2 linked regions of the Saccharomyces cerevisiae S288C genome follow. The gene in region 2 interacts genetically with the main gene of each other region. Each region holds a gene or a part of one and is shown on either strand. Other genes may lie near its edges. The genes, in order: AIM26 and YOR032W-A.

The links.
Region 1: mutations in YOR032W-A (region 2) and AIM26 together harm fitness more than expected from each alone (negative genetic interaction), as found in Saccharomyces cerevisiae (one large-scale study listed by BioGRID).

What each region holds. Positions count from the first base shown.
Region 1 is NC_001143.9:362,174-370,221, reverse strand, and holds AIM26 (Aim26p), read right to left. Parts: upstream 858-8,048; coding exon 501-857; downstream 1-500. Other genes in the region: UGP1 (UTP glucose-1-phosphate uridylyltransferase), read right to left, coding at 1-331; RGT1 (Rgt1p), read right to left, coding at 1,105-4,617; PTM1 (Ptm1p), read right to left, coding at 6,029-7,600. UniProt on the Saccharomyces cerevisiae protein: Involved in selective mitochondria autophagy (mitophagy).
Region 2 is NC_001147.6:382,795-392,876, reverse strand, and holds YOR032W-A (uncharacterized protein), read right to left. Parts: upstream 702-10,082; coding exon 501-701; downstream 1-500. Other genes in the region: Rad2 family nuclease EXO1, read left to right, coding at 1-461; HMS1 (Hms1p), read left to right, coding at 1,802-3,106; DFG16 (Dfg16p), read right to left, coding at 4,193-6,052; YOR029W (uncharacterized protein), read right to left, coding at 7,942-8,277; CIN5 (Cin5p), read left to right, coding at 8,457-9,344; Hsp90 cochaperone STI1, read right to left, coding at 10,055-10,082.

The sequences.
Region 1 (8,048 bases), on a different chromosome or scaffold from region 2:
CGTTCAACTTCAAAACAGCCAATTTGGAAAGGTTTGAGACATTCTCGGGCTGCTGAGAAATAATTTCATACTTAACCACTTCATCCGGGTTGGGAGACTTGATCTTGTCCCATTCCAAGGTGGTTCTAGAAGACTTCTCTACCAAATATCTCCTGAAAAGCGTGAAAAACGAATCCAGTTCGTTCTCAAACTTAGCGCGAGCAGCATCGTCAAGTTTACTAGAGTCCGCCAACTTGTTTAAGGCGTTTCTCATTTGTGAGGCAGCAACGCTGTTTGTGTTGCTCTCGAATGCATAAGTGGAATGTGTTTTGGTGTGCTTCTTAGTGGACATTATTATGTTATGGTACACTTGCTGTGGAAGTTATATTATATAATCGGAAGAGGACTAGGCCTTTTAACGTTGCTGATGTGGAAAGAACCAGAAATTGAATCTCCAACTCCTAAAACCGTAACTTCAATCTCATGGTACCTGCTGGAAGAACTTTGTTGTTTGTTTAGATTTATATACTCAATCCAAAACAGGGAAAGGAAATGCAAAAACGGGCCGAGCCCAAACAAAAGAGGAAGCGCGTCAGGCTGTTCGAGAAGGGGCGGGGGAAGGGGATCAGGTTACAAGACGCTGTACAGGGATCTGTGTGAGAACAAACCGACACCAGAACTTTGGACTTTGCAAGCGCCGGAATTGAATCTGTAGCAATGGCAATGGCAATAGTGATGGCACCAGGTGTAACAGCAAGCCGGCGGTAGCAACGTGCGTAATAAGGACTTCTGCCCCTGAAAAAGTATGCCAAAAGTAGGAGAAAGAAAGACCCCTTTAGCTGTGAAAGAAGAAGGTGCTCCCCGCCCATTGTCTGCATGCGCCCCTGAGCTTGGCGACTCTCGAATACCGTGGAAGATGGTGGAGCACCAGAGTAAAAGGCCGTGCGCACTCTGACAAGGCAGTATTGTTACAGGTTAAAACAGCTAGTGTGTATATGTGTAAGTAAGTATTATTTATGTGTTTTACTTAAATTGGTCATTCATTGCATGGTAGTTCTTTACGCGAATTTCTGCCTGAGGAGAAGGGAGAACCTGACCTACAGGAGAAGGGAGCATAGTTACCTGTCAATACCAGCCTAACTCGGAATCGTCCAACAGCTTCCAGCCGATACTAACGAAATTTTCCAGGGCAACGTTCTCAAGCCTGGGTTCCTCTGCGGCTACTGGCGCCGTTGTCGGTTGTGTACCAGAAGTACGGCGTTCATCAAGCAATGTCTTCATGACTGATGACTCGCGGAGGCCTTGGCCCGACTTTGGCCACATGACGTCGTTTCTGGTCGTGGACGAAAGTCCTCCTGTCAGGGACATTATGGGCTTATTAAGCTCGTGCTCGAAGATCTTGAATGGCTTGATCATTGTCAGCACGCTGGTGATTTGAACTACTTCATTCATCGAGTTTGACAGCTTCATGACCAGGTCCTGCGACTTCTTGGTGTCCTGAGTATTCTGCGTTGTAGTTGCCGTCATCATAATGCTAATGAGTGATGTAGGCATCTGCTTGACCAGTTCAGTGATGTTGTAGACCTCGTGCAGGATAGCAATAGCAAAGGGGGAAATTATCCCCCGGCAAAGGTCTGAAAGGATAGTGCCAGTGTCTTGTTTCAGGCCTAGTAATTTCTTGTAAAAATCTGGATTCCCCTCCGATGGAGGTGCAGCGCTAAGGTTCCCAGCGACTGGAGACGAGCCCATAGCAGATGGGCCCTCTTGCACTGTCGGATTATTAGCGGGTGGGTTCGGTGGTCTATAATTAAAATCAATACTGTTCGTAGGATTCAGTCTTAATATCAACGTCAATACTTGCAAAATTATTGATATCAATGAGCACAGAGAGTCTGCTATTTTCGAACTCAAATCCAATGTCAAATCTGAATAGACTCCTGCTTCTGAATCGTATAATGATAATAAGCAATTGATGAAATTGTGTTTGCCAATTAATAGCTTGCAAAATAACTGTGCTACGGATAGAGGTTGAGTTTCCACATATTCCGATAAGAGTGAAGACGAGTTCGTAATATCGAACCCAGGCTTCCTATTGCCGTTCATTGATATTCTATTCCTGGTAAGCTCACTCATCAATTCACCCAATTTCAAGCTTTGCAAGACGCTTTTCAGTCTCAATTGGCTTTGTTCCAGGCACCATTTTGAGCCCAAATCATTAGAAAAAAATCTTTCTGTAGAACCTTGGATGGAAATGTTTAATAGCTTGGGACCACCGAATGCACAGCTTTGTAAAGAATCAAACACTGAAAGCAAAACGTATAATCTTTTAAACAACACTGAATAGTGACTAATGTTTTCGTCCATGGAATTTGGTGAATTGGATGGATTCATATGCCCAGCACTTTCAGATCCAATTTCAAATTCGGACGTTTTTGTATTCCCATTACCAGTGCTGACCTCTTCATCAACTGGAGGCTTCACATCATTTATATCCGGCTCCGGAAATAATAGAAGTTTGTATAATTTAAATTCGTTAAAAATTGTCACCGACATTCCAAGTACAAATGAGTTATCGTATCCAACAAATGCCAAAATGTAATTTAAAAGAATAAAAGTAGATAAATAAATGACTTTGATCTTCGGCGAAATTTGGTCGTTGTTTTCTCTGAATTTGGGATGAATATCCACGATTTTTTGGAAACATTCATTGAGGGCGGCAATAAAAACGCTTTGCACTTCCAAAGTATCCTGTACTTCATTATGTGAATCACGTCTTGTTTTTTCAGCATCATCCCTTGCCGTGGCTGTAGTGAACCCAGCTTTGTTGTTGTCATTACTTGGCGACAAAGCCACGCCAACAATATTATCGAAAAACTTGCCACCTGGCTTTTGTTTCAGAGCAACACGAACTAACAATTCCAATGAATTTCTAAACCACAAAATAACATATGAATTGACTTCGTGTATATTGGAAATTGGCTGTGTGTTAACTAACAATAAGTCACTGGTCAAGGTCGTTTTGTTTAAAGGTATGATCGGAAATCCTACATGTATGAACTCATAGTAGGTGTCTATTAGATCTACATCGGATATCTGTCCATACGCGATAGTTGATGAAGTGGTCATTGGGTGAGCAGAATCTTTCGATGTTATAGATATAGATGAATCTCTCTTTGGTTTTGTCTTCTTAGATACGTAACTTTTTCTGCGTTTTTTTGTACTTCTCTGTGGCGTTGATCCAGGGCTGGATGCTTCCAAAGCCGCTGGTGTAGTTACAGATTCTTGGGAATGTTGAGATGTATCCTTAGAAGAACCGCTATTATTGCTGCCATTATTGTTGTTAATTTCACCATTATTATTCTCATTACCATTCAGCCTGTCCGTGGATAATGTTACTGATACGGGGGCTGATTGTCGCCTTTTATTTCCATCCAACTCAGATGAAAATTGCGGTACCTGCTGTCCTTGAGGTCTTTGTGTTTGCTGTGCAACATTTACGGGGTTTGTAGATGTGCTAGTAAACATGGCAGGTGCACTGGGAGACATAGCCTCGCTGGCGACTGATCCTTGTCTAGAATGAAAACCATTAGCAGCGAACTGGCCAAAAGATGATATCGATGGGTTGTACGGTTGCTGCTGGGAAAATTGAGAATACGAGTATAGGTTCTGTCCTTGTTGCAACTTTTGTTGGTGTGCTTGTGGCTGCGATTGTTGCTGAGGTGGGGGAAGCTGAGGCTGGCCACCTAGTAAAAGAGAATTTGAAGTATTTCGTAGCAAAGAAGGTATGGAACTTGATCTTCTTGTCTGTTCCCCATTATGATCATCAGTAGGAGCTAGTAAACCAGAAGTTCTTATAAAGGACCAATAACCACCACTACCAGAGGCACTGCCTGAGCCGGTGACACTTCCGTTTGCATTTCCAGAATCATTAGTATGTTTATTCGTTATGGGAGACTGTTGAACGGTGTTATAAGACAACTGCTCGTTGGGATTTAATGTTCTTACCGATATATCACTTTGCAAAGAATCGATAGATCCTTTTCTTTGGTGTTGAAACTCATGGTAGGGCACTTTCCAAAACTGCTGTTGGCCAATATTACCCGCGGGCATAGTTGATTGTATCGCTGGATTTTGGAAACTAGGAGGAATGCCACCAGCCTGGGGAATGTACTGTGTCAGTGGGGGCAATAAAACTGAATTAGATCTCGAAGGGGTACTTGGAACTGTGTTACTGTTTATACCGTTGTCGCCGCTATTGCCCGTATTATTATTCAGGGTATTGTTACTATTATCAAACGTATTATACGACCTTGAGTTATTGTGGTCTTGTATTTCGTTAGTCCTTGGATGGCTGGTGCTCCTCGTATAGCCTTTCGAGGGTCCCCTTTTCAAAGGAACCCTATCAAAACTACAACGGTCTCCATTCCTTTGGCAGTTTGAGCAGACCCCCTTTTCATCTTTGTAGTCACATTTAATCTTCTTTTTACGACACTGATCGCAGGCCCGGGAGGCCTTTGTTCTTTTCTTTATTGCGTGACTTGCTGCTGCTGCGGAGTCCATATCGTCGGGACTATTGGATGTACCACCGTTCTTGGTGGAGTCACTGGAGTTAGTCGAAACAGTGTTCAGCTCGTTCATAATTTGAAATATATTGGAGTTTGAGAGAAGAGTACAGCTTCTTGACAAATGTGAGAATCGAAGAAGCGTGTTATTATTGCACCAATGAAAATTGCGGGAACGGTTCTGCACAATATAGTACAAGGGAGAGGCGATTTCCAACGAAGTCTATGGTGAAAGAGCAGAATATGTTGGATGGACAATACTCCAGTCTCAAAACTCCAAGCACGGTTCCTAACTGATGTGTTCTTATTTTGACTTTTTTTATTTTTTGAATTTTTACTAGTTGCTACTATTTTTTTTTCCTGTTTTTCCTTAAAAGGTCCCTTCCCATAATCGTCTTGCTTAGTTAGCTACATGAAAAAAAAGGAAAAAACTAAAGGAAAATGCACAAAGCAGCGACATATTTTATGAATCCAATACCTGCCATTTCAAGAAGCTCGGATTATTGGTGAGGTGACGTAGCTTTTGTTTGATGTACTGTTGATTATTCGTCTCTGGTGCTCATAAGCCACGTCACAGAAAACGATAAACGATGTTAGCGCACATGCTACATGACTTGCCAATCGTGGTAAAGCTTCTGATGAAAGAACCAACTTGCGGAAGCGTGCCCATAAAATGGTCGTGCGGCTTAACGAGCAATCACACCGAATAAAGTGATCCCGTAAAATGATATTCTACTCGGATGATCCGTTCCCTAGGAAGCGTAAGACAAGTAACTACAAATGTTGTCGCATGTATATTCTATTACTCAGAGCGTTTGACAAAAAAATCTTCTCCCTTTCATTAAAAACGAATCGAAGAGCTGGGTTTATAGCATTGTCACTAAGGACGTGGTCTCATCATAAACAAATAGAATATACATGTTATGTTACATAGGAAAGACCGAAAAAGCCAGAGAAAGCTAATAAGGTTAGCACTGATGCAGCGCGCAACCTTACGTTATCTGGCTTCGTTGTTCATCCTTGAACAAAGGGAATTCCTCACTTCTGGTCTTCCTGCGTCTCTTCTCATAAACAAGTACACATGAAAAGTCTATGGACCAATTTTCTCTTCCATTTTATAGTCGATGAACAGAAACTTTTCGCTTGTTTCGGTTTGATATAAATCATCTTATCACCGAAAAAAAAAAAACTCCAGCGAGCGGCTAAATAAATACAAAACGAAAAAGTTAGGTCTAGAGTATAGCATAGCTTTGGTGACTACAGTTATAAACAGGTAAAAGCACGCACAAATAAATGAAAAGAAACGTGCAACGCATTTATTTATTTATTTATTTATATTCATATTTATATTCATATTCATATTCACATCGCATTGAACAGAAGTGCATATGGTTCATAATTTCTTTCTTTTCGCTTGTAAACATTTCGTGACTGCCCTCGAAGAAACTATTTGTCTCATCACCTAATCAAATCTGCTGGAGGTAGCGTTATTTTGTTGGAGAGGGAGACACTGGCCCGTGGCCTTGGCTATGGTTATTTACATTATCGTGTCCTTCTTCATCATCAGTAAAATTCAAATTGAGGTCATCCTCGTCTATGCCACGCTCACCAGTGATGATACTTGCGTCATCTTGATCGTCAAACGATTGCAAATCGCCCAAGTCAAAGTCCGCGACATTTTCTGGGTCTGTGGGTAGTTGTTGGGATGCGGCTAGCATGTATGAAGTATCTGTTGGTCTCCATAAGAACGCGATGGTAACGAAAACAATGAAATACACTAACGTAGGCCAGAAATCAGTAACGAAGAACCTTGACCTCCAGTTCTTCTCAATCATATCAATAGTGTTCATGCCAACGTAAATAAATGACGAAACTATACTACCAGCTAGTACACTCAAAAAGGACGCATAAATGATGTATAGTAGCTTCTTGTACATGTTCAATTTTACGATCTGCCTTTGCTCTTTCAAATAGATAACTGTTTTTGTCATGGATCTAATAATCATGTAGTAAAATATGATTAATGCAAGCGCCATAGGAATCAAGGTGATCAAGATTAGTGGAGATGGTGCCTCCATGTCGGTCAAATAACTTTGGATCAAAAATCCAATGCAAATTGCATAAGTTAACGCACCATACATTTGGCAACGCCTCATCAACGTTTTATTCAACTTAGGGTACACGATACCGTAGCCCAAAGCGATAATCAATAATAGGAAAAATGAAAATGTAACTTTACCAGCCGTCAATATCGACAAGAACACCATATAAACTTTTATTCCCGCAGTATCACCTTTTTCATTTTTCAAATCATAGTAAGCCCATACAAATATGGTTTCTGCGGTTAAAAATACAAAAAAGGCCAGCAAATACTTTTGTAATGGTAACAATTCATGCTTGTGCTTCCAGAAGGCGAAGGAATATAACGCCATCGCCACAACGTATGCGACCGCCAAAAGACCATATAGTGGCAATTTGTTGATCTCGGTGCCCGCAAGCTGACCATAAGCATTCCTGAAATTCACCACAGCGTTGAACTTGGTAGACGTCGATGATCTGAACGCAGTAACACAATAAAATCCGGTTTCTTTTATTGGGTATCTAGTATCATGAAGGCCGACCTCATTTTGAGAAAACGTCATGATTGGATTGGCCAAAGATCTATTTGTGGAAGTATATGGATCATATACAACATCTTGAACAATAAACTCATCACGATTCTCCTCTTCACAAATCCCGATATCAATTGCATAATCATCACAAATATAATACATTTCTTCATCCGGCAATTGCACACCTAAGTGCTCAAAGTCTTGGAAATCATAGATTGCAACGACTAAGCCTGGATCAGACTCATCACTCAATCCACTTATTTTTTTAAGATTGAATGATATAAACGGGTCTATTTTGCCCTTCCAATCTTCTTTGGAATACATACCTGCGCATACTTGATAATTCTTTTGACTTATCTTTTCCTTGTTAGCTTTTACGAACACTAGAAGGTAGCATAAGAAGCAGGTGAATAATTGGAAAGGTCGGCAAAACTGATATACTCTCATTGTGCCCTTACACTCTTAGTTTCTGTAAATTTACTGCCTTTTTACCAGCTGTTTCTTGAAATTACCGAGAAAATATTCTATTTCAATTTTTAACCTGCAAAACCTGAACAGAATAGTTGATCCTCTTGACTATTAGTTTGAGGCTAAGTTTTTTTTTCCACTCTCCCTATTCCTACTCCTATATATATCTTGCTCTATCTTTTTCTTCAAGTTCGTTTTTTCACACACTATTTAAAAGACCAAGCTTATGTGTGACGTGCACGGGTGCAATATCTAAATCGGGCAAAACAACTAAGCAGTAATTAAAGTACCACACTCTAGCCGAAAAGAGGTATACATGAAGGTTGAAGATTCGGAAGCAATTCCCAAATTATGTTCAACATTACGGATATTACAATGTTCAATGCGCATAATACACCATAGAAGAAAATTGGCACTACGTATATAC
Region 2 (10,082 bases):
AAACTGCGGAATCAAGAGTTCCCACGAGCAGCACCACCTCATTTCCCGGGTCATCCCAGAGGAGTATATCGGGGTGCACAAAAGTTTTACAAAAGTTTAGATATTCATCTTCATTCAGCGGAGTTAATGCAAATAGACAACCACTATTTCCTCGGCACGTTAATCAAAAAAGTAGAGGAATGGTATACGTCAATCAAAATAGAGATGATGATTGCGACGATAACGATGGTAAAAATCAAATCACGCAAAGGCCATCACTGCGAAAAAGCCTTATTGGTGCCAGGTCACAGAGAATTGTGATTGACATGAAAAGCGTAGATGAACGAAAATCATTCAATTCATCACCAATTTTGCATGAGGAAAGTAAGAAAAGGGACATCGAAACTACTAAGTCAAGCCAAGCTCGGCCGGCAGTCAGATCTATCTCCTTGCTTTCCCAATTTGTTTATAAAGGTAAATAAAAGTTAAGTACTGCACGTTTCATATCGGAGGTATATTTTTCAAATGAAAATCTCGTCGAAATGCCTCAAGACAAGAATTAAAAAATCAATGCCCAGTAAAGTAGGACAGGGTACGGTTGGAGTAAGAAGCCTTCTACTTTGGGAAAAAGCCATTGTACTAGACCAAGAAAAGATTAAAAGTAGATGTGTCAAATTAAGCCACAAGTATGTTTGCCCCGCTATGAACAATGCACGCCGCATGTGAGGACAACTTTATATGTTTTGCGAGCGCGCTGGGCATGTGCAATTCACATTTTTTTTTTCCTTTTTTTTAACCCACTCTATTTATCTAATCAAGCCGCTAGCGGTCTACATTCGCTATCAACTGAACGAATAGTGATGCAATCTGAACCTTAAACTTTTCGCTCGCTTTTACTTTCCAGAAAAAATTTTCTTCATTGGGATTCCTCTGCTGACAAACGGGCTCACAGAACTGAGGAAACGAGAATTTTGTTAATCAAAGCAACATTACGGGAAGGAACGGAACCGTCTCGTTGCTGTGGGCGCGAGTTCGACGCAAGAAAAAAATGCTGCAGCATCGTCTTTTGTGAACGCCAAGAAGGAGTCCGGCGAAGGTATTGGGCGTCACAACCTTTTATTCTCCGCAGTGTCTCTTGCCTACAAAGCCTGCAGAAGCTTTTATGCCGGGGTGTACGTATGTTAATCAGTTACCCTTTCCTACTGTGTGCCGCACCCCTCATTTGCTCTCGATACGAGAAGTTCCGCGCCGATTCTGGCCTTTTTGTTTTCTGGCTAGCCTACTTTCAGGGGACGTGCCTTCTTATGCCGCTGTAAATTACAGCAGAGATTTAGATCTGAGTGAAAACGTGGCGAGGAAAAAGGGTACACCGTTAAAAGCGTAGACACAATCCCACTTTGTTGTGCCTAGTCTTCTCTGCTGTATTTTAATTTTCTGTTTGAACTTTTTTCCGTTCTTTTCCATCATTGTTTAATTTTTACTTTGAGTGGGCTTCTCAAAAGAAAAAAATAGCTGGTATTGTATTTTTACCGTAGGCGTTTTCTTTGTATTTTTCCCAAGAGCAGCAGCACCTTTTATATACCTTGGTTACACATTGTAAGCCTCAAAAATCGTCCTATGTAAGTGTCTTATCGCATCATACTTAAGGTCAAACCTGTAAAGCGCGCTTCTAGTTTTATTTCTACTACTCGCCTTGGCTCTCGAGATCGCTTAGGTAGTTTAATAGTTAGTCACACCCACCCACCCATTCGCTTAGAATATAGAATATAGAGCAGTTGCAGTACACGACTCATTTTAGCAACGATAAGAGTATAAATTGGAAATGCCAAATTTTCAAAAACCTTTTTCTGGTTCTTCGGATGGCAATTCTGTAATGAACGACCTAGGTAATAAAGTCGCCATCAAGGTTTTTGATTGTAGAAGTGCTCAAGATGGCAGCGAAGAGCAGAATGTAAATGTAACCACGAACCAAATGTATTTAATGTTTCAAAGTAACAATTACAACGTGCCGCCACCAAATTACAATACCGAGGATTTGGGTTCTCAAGGACCTCCGACGCATGCTTATTACGCTCCATTTCAGCATCCCATCCATCTTCAACCTCCCGTGCCTCCTGTATATAAGAACAACACATATTCTGCCACAGACCAGTATAGTGACTCCTCGTTTCCTAATACTTCAGGCCACACTCCAGTAATTGATAGTAATTACTATAATGATGCTCTGGCTTCTATACCTACAACAACGACGGGTAGTACTACAATGACTACAGACAATGGCAATACTATTGACAGCGAAGAATACATTGATAACATGGAAGTCTTTAGTAGCGAGGAAAATGAAAACATTGATAATGTAAAGCAAACCGATCTTAAATCTGAAAAGGACTCGAGTCTTCTTTCAGCAGCTTCAATCGTGAAAAAGGAACAATTGTCTGGCTTTGAAAATTTTTTGCCTTTATCGAAGACAGAGTCTCCCTTAGTTACTGCAGACGAGATTAAATCATCTTTGAATTTGGAGAATATTGACAATGCTGACAGTATGAGCTTCAAGTTAAAAACTTCACCTATACGGAAACATTTTCATGTTAAACCCAAAAGAATAACAAGGGTGAGGACAGGAAGGGTATCACACAATATAATTGAAAAGAAATACCGTTCCAATATTAATGATAAAATTGAACAATTAAGGAGAACTGTCCCAACGCTACGAGTAGCGTATAAAAAATGTAACGATCTTCCCATTACATCTAGAGACCTAGCAGACTTAGATGGCCTAGAGCCAGCAACAAAATTGAATAAGGCGTCCATTTTAACGAAATCTATTGAATATATTTGTCATTTAGAAAGAAAGTGCCTACAGCTAAGCTTGGCTAATCAACATTTATCAAATGACACACGGGATTCTTTCGTCCATCTTACCGAGCCATCTCAACCGTTGAGTGACAACAGTAGTAGTGAACAAGTACAAAAGCAAACCAGAAGCTGCCAACGCCAACGGCAGCGGCAGCCACGACAACAACAACCATTGCATAACATTCAATATAATATTCCACATCAAAACGGCCTCATGAGCGGCACCAACAATTCACATGATATGGATTTTAACAACGCAGGAGACTTTTAATACTTGAACAACAAAATGTTTCAACACGACAGATAAAACGAAGAAGAAATACTATATACAAATCTGTACTTGTGTGTATGCGTAACATTGTAATTTTAATTTTGCATTGAGAAATCTATTTTATTCATCTCTTTTAGTGTTAGTAAACACTCGCAGATGCCTTGAGCTCCGCACCGTAATTTAGTTTAATTTATTTCTCTTAGTGCCGTCTAAATAATAACGATCTAAAAAAAAGATTCCGGGAAAAAGAAACTATACCTTATATTTAGTTCATGCAGTTAAATAAATGTTGTTAATTAAGGGTAAAATATGATGATGTATTTATGATAAGTAAAGAGTAGGGGTCACCTAACATTTTTCACAATTGCATTTACTCTTTTCACAAGTGCACGTGGTTTCGCATTTGCATTTTTCACCACAACTCTTACATTGAGGGCTTCCGGTGCTGTGATCACATTTGCACTTTTCACCGCCAGAACAGCTTGGAAGGCAGGTGCTCCCACAATGACAAGAGTCCTTACAACATTCGCCTTAACAGTCACATATTTTTACAGTCATATTTATTGAGTACTATTTGACATTGTAGTGTTCAGTGTAATATCGCTTCGCTATTCTTAGGGGGGACGATGTGCGCCCTTCTTATATAGGCCCCGCTTGATCACTACTTCACAGCCCTCTCGCATCCCTATCCTTTTTTTGTCCGAAAGACAAAAATCACTTCCACACAGCAATAAAGACGCATTTATTGTTCTTTTTCTTAAAAGTGCTTGCAGTAGGGGGTTTAGCAAAAGAAAAAAATATATGACCGGTTGTTATGCGATCTGACGTAAAGTGGAACTCATTTTGAAGGGTTTCTGCACAGAAGTCAATGCCAGAAGGATTTGGAACACCTACAGGACTGAACGTCGGACTAAAATAATGTTGGTAGAGTATGGTATTACTGTAAATTAATCGTTTATACGTGACGTTGACGATGGGATTTGATTTTCTTGTATATCTGACTTGAAAATAAAAGCAATAAATGACCACAAGAAATAAAGGCAGCTGTACTTCTGCAGTTATGTCTTTTCGTCCACTGGGCCTGCCTTAATCACTATTTTCGTAATTATAAATGTGGTTGGTTCGAAGTTCGGTTTCCATACTTTCGTTGTCACTGATGTCTGTAGCTAGATAATTGGAATCTCTAATATGTTTGTCGGCTCCTGGTCTAACAGTTGAGCCTTCTTTATTCTGTCCAATGCCATTTTTTGGTTCATATGAATTGGTTTTTCGCCTAGGCTTCCTTAATAGCTGTCGATATTTGGATAATGTCGTTTTAGTATTAGGTTTGCCATTCGATTTACTTCCAAAACTGGGATTTTGCCCAAATTTATTCTCACTTTTCATTATCTTATGTCTTCTTCTTCTGTCCCTTATTCTTTCGATTGGAGATTTCCAGGTGGGTGAAGGGGATCCTACTAAACTTGATGAATCGTGGGAAGTAGTGTTACTTTTAGTAGTGTTTAAATCCCTGTTTAACGTTATGGCGCTTAAATGCTTGCCTAAATCTTCTCCGTAATAATTGACTGTTGGATTGGCGAAAAATTTGTCCCTATTGTTAATTTTTCGTCCAAGGACTGTTTTTTTGCTTATGTGCAGCTCCCTCTTTTCCAATACTCCAATTAAGCCCCAAACGTTCACTGTTATTAAAACTTTCAAAAGATGAACAAAGTTAAATGTCCAACCTCTAACATGTTTGGTGAAAGCAGCGAAAAAAATTGTGGTGAAATAGAATAAAATAAATATAAGAATATTATACGCCAATAATGGTATAGTTTCGTGATAATTTTCCCAAAGAATTCTCAATTTCGTTTTACACTTACCGTCCGTATTAATTTCAGCAGTTTTCGGTAAAAGTATGTAAGCAAAATTATGCCATGTGAAGTAACAAATAATGGAGATGAAAATTGTGTAAATCAGTAATTCGATTAGCTTGTAAAATACCTTCAAAACTACAAGGTTCTTTCTCCAAAGAAGGTTTGCGAATAAAATGTTATCGGCTAGTGAGAGGAAGCAACCCACGGTAATTATGATATGTGTCCCCTTTTTCATTTTAAATGGGATCCAATTCCAAGTTGGTTTTCCATAATTGGACTGTAAGTAGTGAACAATATAAATCCAGTTTATATCACTCAAAATATTTGCAACTAATTCACATATTTTATATGGTGCAGTTTCTACGATGAACGATTCAAATTGGCTCGCATCCTGGTAGTCATCGTGATATTGGCTGTCAAATATGACGGCTATAGTCTCGTTTAGAAATACAGTTCTTATAATCGCAGAGAAAAGGACGTAAACATGTACAACTTTATTTCTTCTATTATGATTATCGGATGGCAGTAATAAGACAACCAAAAATAGCATCCATGTTGCCACACAGATACACCCAGAAGCAAAGGTGATCATTATCATTCCTAAGGGAAATGGGTCTTTTCCGATGTATTTACTACTGTCATCTTGAACGTTGAATTTGTTGTTGATGTCATAAACAAAGTCTTGTAAGACATGAGAGAAATTAGGATTTGCACTGCCATTATCGCATCGGATCAAAAAGGATGGGTAATTTAAAGTGTAATTATAAGCACGTAAGTGCCACGAATTACTTGCTAGAGAGATGAAGCCACCTGTCAATACATTTACCGTGCATGAGTTTTCATATTTATTTAGTAGTTTATCATCTATCAAATCAGTCAGATTGTAAGCTGGAATGTTGTCGATGTGTTTTTTATAAGGTGGCCGGTGGTCGTAATGCGGTGGTCTTTCATCACCAAGTTTATGTCCCGGAGGACCAGGTATCAAATCGGGAGGTTGAATTCTCTTTCTTGCTGCTTTTTCATACGCACCTACAAGTCCTAAATGGTAAACTAAAGTGAGGAGGTAGTAAAAATGCAATCTTATGATCATTAATCTTGCACGTAAAGACGTTCCGCAACAAAAAATGCTTGTGAGTGCAATATCAATAAGTATTGTTTTTGAGCCTTCGGAGTTGAGCTGCCATTTGGTGGTACTTGTTTTGAATATGATAGAAGCCTTATCTTTGACACTTCTTCCAGTCAATTTTCTCGCCAAGTTAAAAAAAAAAGTTACAATTTTCTCATCACCCCGAAACAACAAAAGAAAGTATATTGCTCTTTAGCCCTTCCTTGCAGATTTTTCAATCCAACGGGGCTAGTAAATCTGATATCAATCACATCGATTGTGTTATCTTCACATGTTGTTTGATAGAAATCAGACCTTCTTTTTTCTTCTTCTCGGATGTTTATAGTTAGTAAAGCTAAACTGTGTATATATGGCAATCACCGAAGACGAATTATTACAGGACAGAAATAAATGGGTTACACACCAGAAATCAGGGACAAAAGGGCCCAACGGAAATTTTATAGGTTGTTTTGTTTATCTGTGCACATAGGCGACAAAACTAAAGTTATGTATCTAAGAATTACAACGTAGTGTAGGTGAGCGGTACTTGAAACTTTCTTTTTGTAAACACCATAAAAGGATATTAATGACATCGGTTGAAATAATGACATCTAGAAGGAAAATTACAACTAGAAGAAAGCGTGATTATGTTGTAAAGAATCCGGCAAATAGAAAAGCTAAAAGATGATTGCAAGGCTAGTGAAGATATTTCAAAACTTAGTTACTCGTTACCTTAAAAACCTTACATTGTTCTCATGTATTACATGAAATTCTATCTTTTCTTTTTGAATAAGCTCTAAGTATTAATCCTCAAGTATTAATTGCCCACCACCTTCTTAAAACTGTTGTTTTTTAATTACAATTTTCTACGCTAACCCGTTTCTTCCATTTTCTCACTGTTAGTATTCCCATATAACGATCTTCTTAGATTATCTATAAAAGCGTATTTTGAGATTTGTTGCAATGACCTAAAAATGGTTGACAGTCATTCTTCTTGTTGCTGCTTTTAATAAACTAATTCTTTAGAGAAGGATAAGTACTGTGACATATTTACACTTTTTAACTAACTTCTTTGGCCACAACTAGTGAAATGTTCATCTACTGCGCAATTCAATATGCCCGCCGATAGCTAAGCGATAGCTCTTTCAAAAATTTTAAAAAAAAGGTACTATCAAACTGAATTGGAATGATTATGGTTCAAACTTACTCCTGATTCAAATATAGCAAAAAAATCAGGTGTGCAGCTATAGATCTGCCAGATACACGAGTCATTGCGAAAGGCACCATATATTACCTTATTTAGTGCCTTCTTGAAAAACAACTACAAGATCTTAACGTCACTGTATAGTGCCATTCGGTGAGCAAAGACAGGTATTGGTACTAATTGACAGTAAATGACTTATCTAACCCGTTGACGCAATGCTTCGCTTTTGCCATCAAGAATGTTGAACTGTGCAAAATGGTATTTTTTCGGAGAAACATTTCAAAATGGAAAGGTAACAACGTCCGTAGTTTTGTTTTTCCGTTTTATCGTTTACATGATTATCCTGAAAAGTCCCCTGCAGCAGCAATCATAGGGCCCACTCACTGCCATGTCTTCCCACCTCCTAAGAAATGGCTGCCCCACGCCCCTTTGACGACTTACTCCTCAAGGTAAAACTTGGCGTACGGAGAGGGGTCGAGAAAAGGTTCCGAGTGGAAATGTACGCCAATGTTTAGGGCTACGTGGAATGTGATCTCATTCTTACAAAACACGTAGATGATGAAAAGGGCCGCAAAAGTTTCTGTTATTCTTTAAATTGTTCCCAGAAATCCTCGAAGGAATGACCTAAATCTTAAGGCACTTGCTTTTAAAACTATTGTTCGTTAATTTGTTAGTAATGCAACCAAGTGCTCCAGCCCAACCGAAAAAAAGGGAAATTAACTTTACATCGATAAGCTCTGACGCAATGCGGGAGGGGATTTCCCGAGCGGAAATACCACGGCGCTGAAAAAAAAAAAATCGGAACCGGAGTTGCCTCACCGATCCCAATGGTGACATGCAAAGAAAATTTTATTGGCATTAAATCTATGAGGAAGAGGGTAGGAAGGAGTACTAGGCAAAAATCGTAACTAGGAGCAGAAGGCGAGTAAAACCCTTTCAATACTAGGGAGAGAGTGATTTGATAAGGATACCTCCTCACTCGAGAACTAGTTGATGTCTGCATCATTACCAAAGTTCATGTATATAAAAAAGGAACTGGGTGATTTATTTTTTCTCACGCATTCTGCTTACAAATAATTCATTAGATAATTTTACTGATTAACTACGACTTTTTGCAGCCGTTAATCTCATCATAGATATAGAATAACAGCTTGGAACAAGAAGGAAAACCAAAAACCTACTCAAATGTTAATGCAAATAAAAATGGACAATCATCCTTTTAATTTTCAACCTATTTTAGCTTCCCATTCAATGACAAGAGACAGTACAAAGCCAAAAAAAATGACGGATACCGCTTTCGTGCCAAGCCCTCCTGTAGGGTTTATTAAAGAGGAGAACAAGGCTGATTTGCATACAATTTCGGTAGTTGCTTCGAATGTGACTCTACCGCAAATTCAGCTCCCAAAGATTGCAACACTTGAAGAGCCTGGTTATGAGAGCAGAACTGGCTCACTTACAGATCTTTCTGGAAGAAGAAATTCTGTTAATATAGGAGCATTGTGTGAGGATGTTCCAAATACTGCGGGCCCACATATTGCAAGGCCGGTGACAATAAACAATTTGATTCCTCCGTCTTTACCAAGACTGAACACATACCAGCTTAGACCGCAACTATCAGATACTCATTTAAACTGTCACTTCAATTCTAATCCATACACCACTGCATCACACGCACCATTTGAATCTTCCTACACTACTGCATCTACATTTACTAGCCAACCGGCAGCTTCATATTTTCCCTCAAATAGTACCCCAGCTACGAGAAAAAATAGTGCCACGACTAACCTTCCTTCAGAGGAAAGACGTCGAGTTTCCGTTTCTCTTTCAGAGCAGGTTTTTAACGAAGGCGAAAGATATAACAATGATGGCCAGTTGATCGGTAAAACAGGCAAACCTTTAAGAAATACTAAGAGAGCTGCCCAAAATCGAAGCGCACAAAAGGCGTTTAGGCAGCGTCGTGAGAAATACATCAAAAATCTCGAAGAAAAATCAAAACTATTCGATGGCTTGATGAAAGAAAACAGTGAATTGAAAAAAATGATTGAATCATTAAAGTCGAAATTAAAAGAATAAAATAATGAATAATTATTAGTACTAGTAACATCTTAAAAGTTTTCAAAGCACATGGCAAGCACTTCTTCAGGGGGATGCAACCCCCCTTCTCCAAAGAAAATTGATGCCTAAGGTGGCGAAAATATTACGAGATAGGAAACAATTTATGGTTTCTAGTTTCAGGCAGCTTGTATTAGGTAATCAACAAAGCTTAATTTTCACCATTTTTATTTTCTTTCCTTCATCTCCCTTTTTTTATGGCAGGCACATTACTAAAAAGGAAAGAGTCAAGAGTGTAAAAATATACGTAGAAAATACATAGTAAGAAACGAAATTATATCATAGCAATTTGAAAAGTTTATTTCCCTAATTTTTTCAGCTTAGCGAATGTTGTCATGGAGCTTAGATATTCTCGCTTTTTTTTTTTCGCATTCTGATGTAATGAATATTGTTGACGTAAAGTTGTGCCAATTACGTAATTTTTTTTGTTTCTAAGGAGAGTTCCGGCCAGAAATTTCCTAGGGCTGATCCGGAGAACGACAGGAAAGATGGTCCGATGTTTTTTTCCCTCGCCCAAGAAACTTATTATCTTCAAGTTCCGATTTCTCAAATATCAACCATAGCATGAAACAAATTTAGTATACTAAGTGAGAAGATCATTATATGTACGTATGTATGAAAAAGCAGTAAAAAAAGAATTCAAGATAATAAAGTTATATTTCGTATTATTTTTAGCGGCCAGTCCGGATGATACCAGCA